3 linked regions of the Mus musculus genome follow. The protein of the gene in region 3 interacts with the protein of the main gene of each other region in a pairwise test. Links are inferred from orthologs where the notes say so. Each region holds a gene or a part of one and is shown on either strand. Other genes may lie near its edges.

What was found.
Region 1: the proteins of Dctn2 (region 3) and Kifc3 interact in binary tests that used the Homo sapiens proteins (3 or more experiments, as listed by UniProt). The two-hybrid records come from large-scale screens. The link is inferred for Mus musculus from reciprocal best matches to the Homo sapiens genes DCTN2 and KIFC3.
Region 2: the proteins of Dctn2 (region 3) and Gadd45a interact in binary tests that used the Homo sapiens proteins (3 or more experiments, as listed by UniProt). The link is inferred for Mus musculus from reciprocal best matches to the Homo sapiens genes DCTN2 and GADD45A.

What each region holds. Positions count from the first base shown.
Region 1 is NC_000074.6:95,139,751-95,143,849, forward strand, and holds the start of Kifc3 (kinesin-like protein KIFC3), read right to left. Parts: upstream 2,808-4,099; 5' UTR 2,682-2,807; intron 1,570-2,681; exon of another isoform or gene 836-1,569; intron 1-835. UniProt on the Homo sapiens protein: Minus-end microtubule-dependent motor protein. Involved in apically targeted transport. Required for zonula adherens maintenance.
Region 2 is NC_000072.6:67,034,601-67,038,998, forward strand, and holds Gadd45a (growth arrest and DNA damage-inducible protein GADD45 alpha), read right to left. Parts: upstream 2,808-4,398; 5' UTR 2,645-2,807; coding exon 2,601-2,644; intron 2,512-2,600; coding exon 2,410-2,511; intron 2,336-2,409; exon of another isoform or gene 2,316-2,335; coding exon 2,078-2,315; exon of another isoform or gene 1,999-2,077; intron 1,173-1,998; coding exon 1,059-1,172; 3' UTR 496-1,058; downstream 1-495. UniProt on the Homo sapiens protein: In T-cells, functions as a regulator of p38 MAPKs by inhibiting p88 phosphorylation and activity.
Region 3 is NC_000076.6:127,272,759-127,276,375, reverse strand, and holds part of Dctn2 (dynactin subunit 2), read right to left. Parts: intron 1,663-3,617; coding exon 1,566-1,662; intron 1,383-1,565; coding exon 1,321-1,382; intron 553-1,320; coding exon 454-552; intron 1-453. UniProt on the Homo sapiens protein: Part of the dynactin complex that activates the molecular motor dynein for ultra-processive transport along microtubules. In the dynactin soulder domain, binds the ACTR1A filament and acts as a molecular ruler to determine the length.

The sequences.
Region 1 (4,099 bases), on a different chromosome or scaffold from region 3:
AAGGCCAGAGGTCTGAGAGTGGCAGGAGCTGTCAGCGCATACACGAAGTCCTCAGAAGCGGCTGGAGAGCAAGTAGGAAGGGCAGGACAGTCAGGTAGCCATAGCCAACTAAAAGAAAGCCCTAGGGACCTCTTTAACAAAAGCAGGGAGAGCCAGCCAGGTACAGGGGCTCACACCTACCTTCCCTAGCACTCAAAAGGTTGCAAGTTCTAGCCAGGCGTGGTGGCACACACCTTTAATCCCAGCGCTCGGGAGGCAGGGGCAGGCAGAGTTCAAGACCAGCCTGATCTACAGAGTGAGTTCCAGGACAGCCATGGCTATACAGAAAAACCCTGCCTCGAAAAAACAAAAAGAAAGGTTGCAAGTTCCAGACCAGCCTAGGTTGCAAAGCCGTTTCAAAGCGACTCAAGGGACTGGAAAGGGCCTAGGAGGCAGCTGTTTCCTTCTTAGAGGGAAGTTCAGCCAGGATGATGAGGAGATGGAGCTGAGAGAATATGCTATATAGAACAGGGGAGAGGTGACATGTAGGGGTAGACAGAGGTACAGGAACAATGCATCTAGAGACAGGAAACAAATAGCAAGAATCTGGAGTCAGAGACTGAAGACTTTTGATCTGATGCTTTTAGGGGCAAGTACTGAAGACAGTGGGTCATGTCTCTTCCTCCCCTGACTGAAGACAAGTCAAGTGTGGGGTACTCACTGGGAGAGGACAGGAATGTGGGGGGAAGGGGTCAGAAAGATGCTGATCAACCCCATCCCCCATCCCATGGATGCCTTGAGATGGGTGTAAAGTGGGAGAAGCCAGAGGAGCAGAGAGCAGATACAAATGCCCTACCCAGGTGGCCTGATGCAGTGCATGAAGCCGACCCTGCAGGCCAGGGGGTGAAGCTGGGAGGACCATCCTCTGTGGGTGCTCGTACCAAGCTGAGACCATGACGGGCAGAGGATTCTAGGAGAGATCAGCTCAGTCAAGGAGGTGGGGGAGCATATTTCTGTGCTATCAGGAAGGGAAGTTGGAGCGGCAGCCTGGAGAAAGAGGAAGGGTGTGTGCTAGGTCCCCAAGAGGAAAAGGCAGCTGAATTTAGCAGCTGGAAACCCGGGTGTGAGGTCAGGAGTATCAAGGAATCTCAAACAAGCCCAGGGTTCTAGGCCAAGAGACAAGTGCATCATCTCCTTACACAGGTGTTAGGTCTGGGGTCCTGGGACCTCTAGTGACCTGGAAATCATGCAGTAGAGCTATGGGCTAGGTCAGACCTTGGCTCCGCCACCTAGAAGAATTAATTACCTGCTCTTTGCCTTATCATCTTCATGTATCAAGTGGTGAAAACTGTACTTCTCAGGGCTGACATCAGAAAATACACATATGAAGTATGGACACAGGCAAAGGGCCCAAGATGCTGCTATCTCTTGGTAAACTGTCCCATTGGTGGGTGAATGCGGAAGCTGTTTGGGGGAGGGGCATGTGCTTCTCTGGGTTTAGCTAAGGATGGTAGATCTGCCTTCCTCCTGTCTTAAACCAGAGACAGGGCAAAGACTCACTCTCTCTCTCTCTCTCTCTCTCTCTCTCTCTCTCTGTGTGTGTGTGTGTGTGTGTGTGTGTGTGTGTGTGTGTAGACCTCATAGTCACCTATACACCACTGCAGGGGATAGCTTAGTTCTCCTGGGTGAGCATTTGGGGGAGGGGGCATGGCTAGACTGGGTTAGGGTATCCCTGGCACACACATGTTCTGGTGCATCCAGATTTCAAATTTTCTGCTCTCTGGTACCCATACAGACAGCAGAACTTACCATCCCCAAACCCTGAAGTCCAACCACTCCAATACACAAAACCATTCTGGGACTGCATTCCTAGCAAATGACTCTCTCTAGCCAAGGAGACTGCCCCTTTATGAAGGGCATGGGGAATAAGTCCTACCAGACTAGGAAGGGCATTTACCCAGTCTGGGGCAGAAGGACACTAAGGAAGGTGAAGCTAGGGGTAGTCCCAAGGCCCAAGCTTGAGAAATGCATTAAAGTGTGTGTGTATGTTTTGGAAGGGTGACAAATACTACTTAAGAATTTAAATCCAGCTTCCTCTTTAAAATGTCTCAGGACCCGGCCTTTCACTGTGTCAGCCAGAGTTCTCCTGTTACTTGCAGTGGAAAGGCTGAGGGGACAGACAGCTTCTGGGCTCCCCTCCCTGCAGGGATTCCTCAGCCGCAGCTGTCAATGACTTGATCCCTCTCAGCTTGAGAGGGTATTTCTGAGGCCCTCCCTCCTAACCTAGGGGCTGCCGCACCCCACCTCGGGCCTTGCCCGGGGGATGGGGGAGAACTACTCGGGGGACACAGAGGGAGGGCCCAAACAGTAGCCTTCCTGGAAGCGACCCTTGCAGGGGGAGGGGGTTCACTGGTTGACCCGCAGCTCCCAGGTAGGCACTGCACATTCCCCCTCCAAGGAGTCGGTCTTGGTGGCGCTACCCCAGAGGCTGTGCCACCCTCACGCCCAGGTCTCTGCAAGATCCTCCGGTTGGACCAATACAGTGGGAGCCCCGCGCTCAGCCGGGTCTCTTGGGGCCTGATCGCAACACCCACCGGGTCGGGGAAAGAGGGGGTCCTCAGGCAGGGCGGGCGCGGCGCCCAGCAGGAGCGCCGGGAGGAGCCCGTCCCATTCCACCCCCAGCCTGCCGGGACCCGACTCACCGGCCTAGCGGAGACAGGATCCCAGCGCCGCCACCGCAGCGCCCCGGGCTCGGCCCGCTCCGGCCGGCTCCGGCCCGCCCGCCCGCGCGAGGCAGCTCCACGCCGCCGCCGCTGCCTCCTTGGCCCGCCCCGTGCCCGCCCCTCCCGCACTTTCCACAGGAAATGATTAACTCAGGCCGCGGCGCGTTCCCATGGTAACGGGCTCGGGAGGGGGGCACGCGCACTCTCGCGCACGCGCCCACCCCAGGCGCATGCCTCCCCTCTTATCCTACCCATCCACCCGACACAGGCTGGTACACCCTTGTGCGCACACCCACTGGTGCACGAGCCCAGGCGCACCTTGCCTGCCCCTTCCGAGCTGGCTCACACCCTCCACTGCACACCGCGTACCTGCACACTCGCCCTCACCCATTACTCCTACCCAGGAGTTAACGTTAACACTCACCCTCAAAACGGTTTGTACTCCACCCCAAACCCAGGTGCAGAAGTTTCACGCACGCCAGCTAGGATCCACACACAACTGGCACACACACACACACAGACTCACATCTTAATACATTTCCTCACACAAGCTCTTGCACGCGAGATCGAGCACACGCATACCACACGTTCACCTGCTCTGTTACACAGGCGTGCACCCTCTCTCTGTGCCCAGCCTGGCATCCTGCCTTGCCAGCTGCACCCCTGCACCCCCAACCAATAAATATTTTCTTGAGCAGCAGGCTTGGGGTTTGTTAAGGTAACGCATTCCCTTAAGCTCCGGCAAAACAGCTCCACCGTCTGTCTTTAAAAGCTCCTTCCTGGGGCGTCTAGGAGCCACTGAAGAGGCCTGGGGGAGAGAAGGCTCAGGCAGCCAAGAGAGACTGCTGACCCAAAGGAGCCACTCTGTTCTTTGTCTCCCAAACAGAGAGGCATTTATTCCAGCCCCAGTATGCCCACTCCGGAGTGCGGAAGGAGAATGTGCCACAGGAGCCTGTCCCGCAGAGGCTGATGGTCCCCAGATAACCTGAGGAGGGTGAGGGTCTACCCCTTCAGGCTTGCCAGAAATGGCCTAGGAGAGACCTAGGGAGGGCCTTGCTGCCTCCTCTGGGCCTGCTTCCCGCTTCCGCTGCTGAGCCACGTGTCAAGAATCTGGAGCAAAAACAGAGACAAGGACTTAGGCCCCACAGGGTGCCTGGTGCCAGGCCAGGCCTGGCCAGTAGGCCCCCAGCTGGAAGCAAGCACTGTCTCATCTATTGAAGGCTCTATTCGAGGGGAAGGGGTGTGTCCTGCATTTAAGTTTGCATATAAAAGGAGAAACCTTGTCTTCCTTAAGGATTGGGACACTGACATAAACTTCAGTTTCCTTCTAGCAAAGCCAAAGTCAGGTTTTGTTTTGTTTTGTTTTAACTAATAAAAACATTTATTGTTCTCTTTTC
Region 2 (4,398 bases), on a different chromosome or scaffold from region 3:
CCTACAACACTGACCAGGTCACTTCCTTCTGCAGACTGTGGCAAGTTCACAGAAAGAAGCTCAAATACATAATGGTGATGCAAGAACTCCTGTCAGCATCTGAGCTGAACCCCCACCTTTCCAACCCTCTCTCACTTATCTGCCTACACCAGAGGCAGGCAGAGACACCCTCGTAGGTCTCTCTGCAGGCTGTGATCTTTGATGCCTCCAATGAAATGTTTTTTCCTCAGTAAAAGCTTCACTCATCTTCAAGCAGCTTTGGTAACCCTCCTCTCTGCTTCCACGTTTTGCATGCAATTAATTATAGCATTTAAGTCATTCACTGTAATTTAGACTTTGCAAGGTGAATCTTGCCATATTCCCTTTTTCCTTACCCCGACCCTCTACAACCGCCCCCCCCCACCATCTTCCTGCCTAGTGTAAAATACAGCAAAGCTTCAATAGAATGTCCAATAATCAATATTGTAAAACACAAACCACACGTTGAGAAATGACACAATTATTCCATACCAGTTTATTTTAGATAATGTGCTTCAAAAACTTTATCATAAATAACCTTTCACATCATAAAATAACTTAGTAAGATTTATAATAAAACTTCTGAGAATTTAACATCTCATCAAAATACATTTAAACTGTGGCTTGAAAATATGATTAATCCTCTTTTACTTTCCTTTTATTTGAGGGCATAAAGACCAAAAAAAAAAAAGAAAAAAAATACCCAAACTATTGCTATACATTTAAAGTTTCAACAAAGCAATATTTGGCTTATTTGAAAGTAACCTGGCCATCCTAAATTAGCAGTTTTCTTTCTTGCAGTGCTTTGTAGTTTTTGTCCCTTTTGCCTTGGATTTCTCTTTTCTCGCAGCTTCCTTCTTCAGGCTCACCTCTCTCTCCCTCTGCAAAGTCATCTCTGAGCCCTCGTGCAGTTGAACTCGGCCCCTTGACATCAGTTTCTGTAATCCTTGCATCAGCGTGGGGAGTGACTGCTTGAGTAACTACAAAGGTATTTCAAAACTTCAGTGCAATTTGGTTCAGTTATTTCCATTCGGATGCCATCACCGTTCCGGGAGATTAATCACGGGCACCCACTGATCCATGTAGCGACTTTCCCGGCAAAAACAAATAAGTTGACTTAAGGCAGGATCCTTCCATTGTGATGAATGTGGGTTCTGTGAACAGATTTTGAAAAAATTACTTCCCCGGAAAATAATCAGCTTCTGCTACTAATTGTGCTACTTTTGAAAGGGCCAAACCCCGAACATTCTGTTAAAAACAGCATCTAGCATAGTCTAAACACCTGTAACGTGCACGGAACTACACAGAGTTTTGCATATTAACTACCCCATTCTGCATGAGGTTACCATTCTTAAGACCTCCCTTCCAAGCATGTACCCTGGTGGGTCATAAGTAAAAGACTCCTGAAAAGCATTCTCAGGCTGTGTGCACGGTGAGGGCTGCAGGGCAGGCAGCTGCTGAACTCTTATCTTCCCTGACGATGAATAGCACATTTTACTGGCAGCAACAAGTAACCAGGCAGTCACTTCCCTACACAAGTCAGAAGAGAAAGAGTACAAAAACAAAAAACCAGAAGACCTAGACAGCACGGTTCTTTCTGAAAACACTATCAACCCACCACACATTTTTAAGCGGTGGGGAGGAGGGAGCTCGTTTAAACAAACTCAAGAGCAGCAAAGAAAAGAATTCCACTCGGTACACTTCAGAGTATCTATCTATATCCAGGGAATTAATAAGGTCTGTCTCCTACACCACTTCTACCTTTAGCTTTGACAGCAAATGAAGAATGAAGCTAACTTCTTAACGAAGGGTAAACCGGGAATTTATTTGGCTTTATCTAATCTGTTCTGCTCAAAGAATTAGCCACGCGAGGTTGTGCAGAGGTAAGCAGAGGTAGCAGCTGGGCAGCTTGCTGACTCACAGGGATATCTTCCGCCGCTGGAGGCCACCCACGAGCTTAGACACGCTCCGTACCCTATCACAACCCCCGCGAGATCAGCGTTCAGCTCGGACAAGGTCCACCCCAGCAGATTCTGGGCTGCAGCCCCGGGTCTCTTACCGTCACCAGCACACAGTGCAGGTCCGGGGTCTGCGCGGCGCCCCCGCTCTCCGCCGGGCCCGCGTCGTTCTCCAGTAGCAGCAGCTCAGCTAGCCGACCCGGGTTGCTGACCCGCAGGATGTTGATGTCGTTCTCGCAGCAGAACGCACGGATGAGGGTGAAATGGATCTGCAGAGCCACATCCCGGTCGTCGTCTTCGTCAGCAGCCAGCAGGCACAGTACCACGTTATCGGGGTCTCTGCGGGCAGCGGGGCAGCGGTGAGTTGCATACGCTCAGGGGGGCGCGGGGTAGAGGCGGGTGGGTGGGCGAGCGGGGAACGCGGGCCACTTACACGTTGAGCAGCTTGGCAGCCTCGTACACGCCGACCGTAATGGTGCGCTGACTCCGAGCCTTGCTGAGCACTTCCTCCAGGGCATCGCCCACCGTGTCCATCCTGCGGGCGGCAGGGTGAGAGCGGGTCAGCCGGGTCCCCGGACGCGAGGCGGGAGGGGCGGCGGCCACCGAGTCGGCAGGCACACTTACCTTTCGGTCTTCTGCTCTGCAGCCGAGAATTCCTCCAAAGTCATATTGCAAGTGCGAGTCCCTCCCTCGGCGCGCGGGCTGCTCCTGGCCCCCACAGTGCGCGGCGCCGGCTCTGCGCTCGCTCCCACCCTCCCTTCTCCGCTCCGGCCGGCCGGCTGCTCGCCTAGCCTCGCTGGGGAACTCTGCACTGCTGCCTCGGGGCCACTGGAGGACAAAGGGCCCGATTCCGGAGATATGGGGCTAGCCCTCAGCCAACCAGGTCCAGCTTCATTTGCATGCAGTCAGGCCATTGGGTTATGCAAATTAGCAGACGTTGACACCCAGACCCTCGCTCCACCAAAGCAAGGCAGAGTTGAGCGGAAAGGGGCGGAGCTACGCGGGAGGGAGCCCACGGGACGAAGGTGGTGCTGAAACCCGGTTGGTGGGGTCCTGAGCCAGCTCTAGGTAGTTTGTGGAGCCTTCTGGTGCGGAGGGCTTTGCAGTGGTTCAAGTGTCCTCAGCTCTGACTGAAACAGCCTGCCAATTGTTTTTCTGGTTGTGGACATCTTTTGATTGTCGTTTCGTGCCCTTTGTGTTAAGGGGCTGCTTTTTAAATTTTACTTCCAGGGATTAATGCACTCCAGTCTAGCTGTTGTTAGTAAGCATATTTTTAAGTGTCCAGACATGCCGGGCAAAGCTTGCTTCAGTGTTTATATGCAAGTTTCAGGTAAACCTGCTTATTCCCAGTAGTAGTCTTTTGGTGCCCTGATGGCTGGTTTGATTTGGTTTTGGTTGGTTGTGAGAATTTGAAACTCCAGGGAGAAGAAAAAAAAAAAAAAAATCGCATTTGTGTGTAGTGGTGGCACAGTACCAAGTTGGAATCTTTTCCACAAAAAGTTGGTGAAATTTCTGCCTACTCCATGTAAGGTGGGGAGCTGGTGATCGCATGTTTAACGAGCCAAATTCACCGTTCTTAGAATCCTTCCTGAAGAAGGCTCCTTCTGATCAAGTAAGAGCTAAGAGAGAAATTCTGTGGTATTCAGAGGTGCCATCATGGAAATTCGAGGTGCTCACGATGTTCCCTGAGCGTCCCATCACAGGCAGAAGAGTATGACACCACCTTTACTGTCTATGAGCTCACTCTGAATTACTGAAGCTGAATCATGAAGCTGTAACTGTAGTACATTTTAGCCATGTGCTCAAATTTCACCTTTGAGATAATAGCAACTTGTAGGTAGAAGGCAAACCCTCGTAACTGCAAGCAGGAGTTACAAAGTAAAAACAATTTTTAATGCAAACTTTTACTGGATAGCTCAAAACTCTCTTTGTTTTATGAGCTTATTCAGTAAATACAAAAGCATTGCCTGAACCTACTAGTCACGGAGAGTGGTGAAATTGCAGCCCATATGCTTGCATTCTTAACAGTGCTAATATTGAGGTCACTGGGTAGCTTACAGTTACAGAAGTAAATTTTGCAGAGGTACATGTGAGTTATCCTTAAGATTTTTTTTGCGGGGGGAGGGGTGGTTTTTCGAGACAGGGTTTCTCTGTGTAGTCCTGACTGTCTTGGAACTCACTTTGTAGACCAGGCTGGCCTCGAACTTAGAAATCCGTCTGCCTCTGCCTCCCGAGTGCTGGGATTAAAGGCGTGCGCCACCATACCCGGCAAGTTTTTATTCTTGTGGACAAAATATTTTCAAATTCTCTTAATCTTAACTTAATGGATAATTTATAGGTTGGTTTTCTAGTTCACTTATTGGAGATGTCCCCAAGAGACAAAAGTTGAGTAAAGGAGCAAATGTCAGTGTATGACTTACCC
Region 3 (3,617 bases):
GGAGTCCGTAAGACAGGATGGAAGTGAGAAAAAAAAAAGCAACCTCGGAGAAAGCCATGGCCAGGCTGTTTTATTTACTTTATGTATCTGCATGTATGCAGTGTGTATACCACATGCATGAAGTGTGTGTACCACATGCATGCAATGTGTGTGCCACATGCATGCAGTGTGTATATCACATGCATGCAGTGGCCATAGGGGCCTGAAGGGGGTATCAGATCCCATGGGACTAGAGTTACAGATGGTTGGGAGGCCCTAAATGGGTGATGATAATAGAACCTGGATCCTCCAAAGGGGCAGCCAGTGCTCTTAATCTTTCCAGTCACCACTGCCACGTGCCCAGGATAGATTTTAGAACAGCACTGAATTTAACAGTGTTAAATATAGATTTGTATTCCCCAGCTCTGGAAACCTCACAGCCCAGGCACTCAGAAGCCAGGGTATGGACGTTACCTTGATCTTCTCCACCTCAGTTGTCAGCTCTTGGACTTCATGCAGTAGTCGTTGGTACTTCTGCTGCGGTGTCTCCTTCACTCCCAGACCCTCTCCAAGCTAGAGACAAGGAGGAAGTTGATGTTACCTGTCCCATTAGAGGGAGCCCTCGGAGTTAATCCAAACCTTGGACCTAAGTCATAAGGTATCCCTCTACCACCTGGATCCTCACTACCCTCTTACAGAAGAGAGGGAGACAACAGAGATCTGGAGACTCCAGAACTGTAGCAGGGAGCACAACACTCTCAAATGTATTTTGCGTGGATGACACTCAGACAAACTCAGACTAAGACTACATCCCTCAGGCTCAGCAGCTAAGGGCACTGGCTGCCCTCAGAGACCTTCAGTCCCAGCAGCCATAAGGTGAATTACAACCATCTGTAACCTTATTTCTACAGAATCCAATGCTCTCTTCTGGTCTCTCCAAACATCAGGCACACACATGGTACATTCATGCAGGTAAATACTCATTTGCACAATATAAAAATAAATAAATCTTAAAGAAACAAAACAAAAACCAAAGCCAGGTATGGTGGTACAAGACTTTAATCCCAGCACTTGGAAGGCAGAGGCAGATGATTCTCTGAGTTTAAGGCCAGCTTGGTCTACAGAGCAAGTTCCAGGACAGCCAGGGCTACACAGAGAAACCCTGTCTTGAAACAACAACAAAAACACAACAAAATAATAATAATCCCCAAGGCAAAAAACAAAGACAAAAAAATAAGAGAGAGAGAAATTTAAAATAAAGAAACAAAGCCCCAAACTTAACACTGCTCACTCCCCTGCAGGCCTGCTCTAGGCTCACCCCACGGTCATCACACAACAAACCATTTCATAGTCTCCAGACTCATATCCTGTCCTCTTGGTCTTTCCAATGCGATCTGAGAAATCTGTCAAGAGAAGAAGACTACTGAATGAGCTGGTCTAGGCCCAGTTCAGCCCCAGACCAAGGTGACTGTGAGGGCTGGTCCCAGAAGGCTCCACAAGGGATCGGATCCGCAGGGCTCAGGCAGCTTGTTCGCTCTCTAGGACCACGCCCGCATCCCCTCCCCAAGCCTCCAGCCCAGGCTCACCAAGCCCCTTTGTTCCCACTCTCTTGTCCTTGAACTTGTCGTAGGCAGCGTTGGGGTTGACAATGATGTGTTCCACGCTTGTGCTGCTCAGTTCCTCCTGAGGGGACAGGGACCTTAGCATTTCTTCTATCCCACAAAGCCCCCAAACTACTAAGCCACTGCACTCTATTTTTCCAAGGAGAAAGAAGGGGGGCTCCATTCCAAGCCTCCCACCCAGGCTCAGCCTGGGAAAGAGAAGCCTCCTGGTAAAGCTGGAGCCTTGGTAGTATAAGTATTAACACCCTGATTTAGCTAGGGACAGAGGCAGTGTAGCCTCCCCCACCCACTCTGTACATAAGCCTCCCTCCCTCAGCCTCTCCCAGTTATCTGGCATACACCATGCACTCAGGGCAAGAAACAAACTTGACCTCTCCTAACCTCCCCCTCCCAAAAGTAAATCTTCTTCCCTGGCTAAACAAGTCCATAGAGCTGACTCTTCGCCCATGCTGGACGGGGAGGAGGAGGCAAGGGCAATATTCTCAATGTAAAATGGCAGGTTTAATCTGTACAAGGTAAGATACCAACTCATAGATAGAAGAGGACTATTGGCAGAGTGTGTGCTTAGAAGCCTGGTTTCTGGGCTACTGTGGGGCCAGACAGCTCGGGATATGGAGGAGCAGCGACAGCTCAGCGGGTTACTATTAAAGGGACACCTTACAAGTATCCCAGGAGCACCTTAGGCAAGGGCTGGACATAGCCCCCAGCACTGAGAAGCGTGGCATGTGCCCCTGCTACTAGACCACTCTGTTGCACCCAAACAATCAAGTCAGGCACATGCAGAGAGGGAACACTGTACCCTAGACCTGAGGGTGACACTCCTTACACATCAACAACTACATCTTCCAACCAGGGAAGGTCACTACAGTGCTGAAGGAAGGGAGGTGCCTAGGAGTGCTGTTTTGTTAGGGGTTGACATCTCCCTGAATCTAGGAAATGAAGCTCAATCGGGTTGTTGCACATTAGAGTCTCTTAGAAAAGCCTGCCTGCCTGCCTTCCTTCCTCCCTCCCTCCCTGCCTTCCTTCCTCCCTCCCTCCCTGCCTTCCGTCCTCCCTCCATCCCTTCCTTCCTGGAGAAGAAAAAGAACAGGCCTGGGCCCATCTCTTAGGTGTGAGCTTAGGTGCTCTCTCTGCCTGTGTGTGGGTGTGTGGGGAGCAGGGAGGAGAACCAGGACAGGAGAGAGAGCACTGGCTGCAAGGAGGGTCCATCCTCCCCTCTCCAGAGTCACAGGGGGAACGTGGCGGGCATGGGCGGCAGCCTCGGGCTGAGGACAAGAGAGAAGGCGAGGACAAAGCAGCAGCTTCCCTCCCTTCAGGCAGCTGTTAGGCAGAGGGACAAGACAAGGGCCCAGTGGAGAGAAGAGACATCGGAGTCCCCCTCACCCCTTCCCCTCAGAAGTCCCCACTTGCCAAGTAGCCCTGTGGTTTCTGGTCTCTAAACTGCCTAAGGATAGCAGCTCAAGACAGGCAAGCATAGCTGTGCTGCTGGCTCCCGGAAACATGGTTTCTCTCCATAAAAGCCAACAAGGCAGAGGCCCCTTTTCAGACAAGCATGGTGGCACAGGTGTGTAATCCCAGCACCCAGGAAGACGCTCACACTGTAATCCCAGCGTTTGGGAGGCTGAAGCAGAAGGATAGCTGCAAGTCTGCAGCCAGCCTGGTCTTCACTCTGAGTTCCAGGTCAGCTAGGATCCCAAGACTCTACTCAAAAACAAAACCAAAAAAACTAACTTCTTAAAAAGATGGCCAGACAGCAGCAGAAGACACTTTTAATCCCAGCACCAAGCAGGCTGGGTCACTTTGAGTTCCAGGTCGAGCTAGTCTATAGAGTGAGATCCCATCTTAAAAGAAGAAAAGAAGCGGATGAGAGGCTGGTGCTGTCACTTGGTGCTGGAGGACTGACCTTGCAGGCTTCAGCCCCTGCGCTAGACCTCTGCTACCACCAACACACAAATGAAAAAAGAAAAGGAAAGGAAAAGGCACGGGGCACAACCTGAAGAGAAAGTGCTCTGTGAG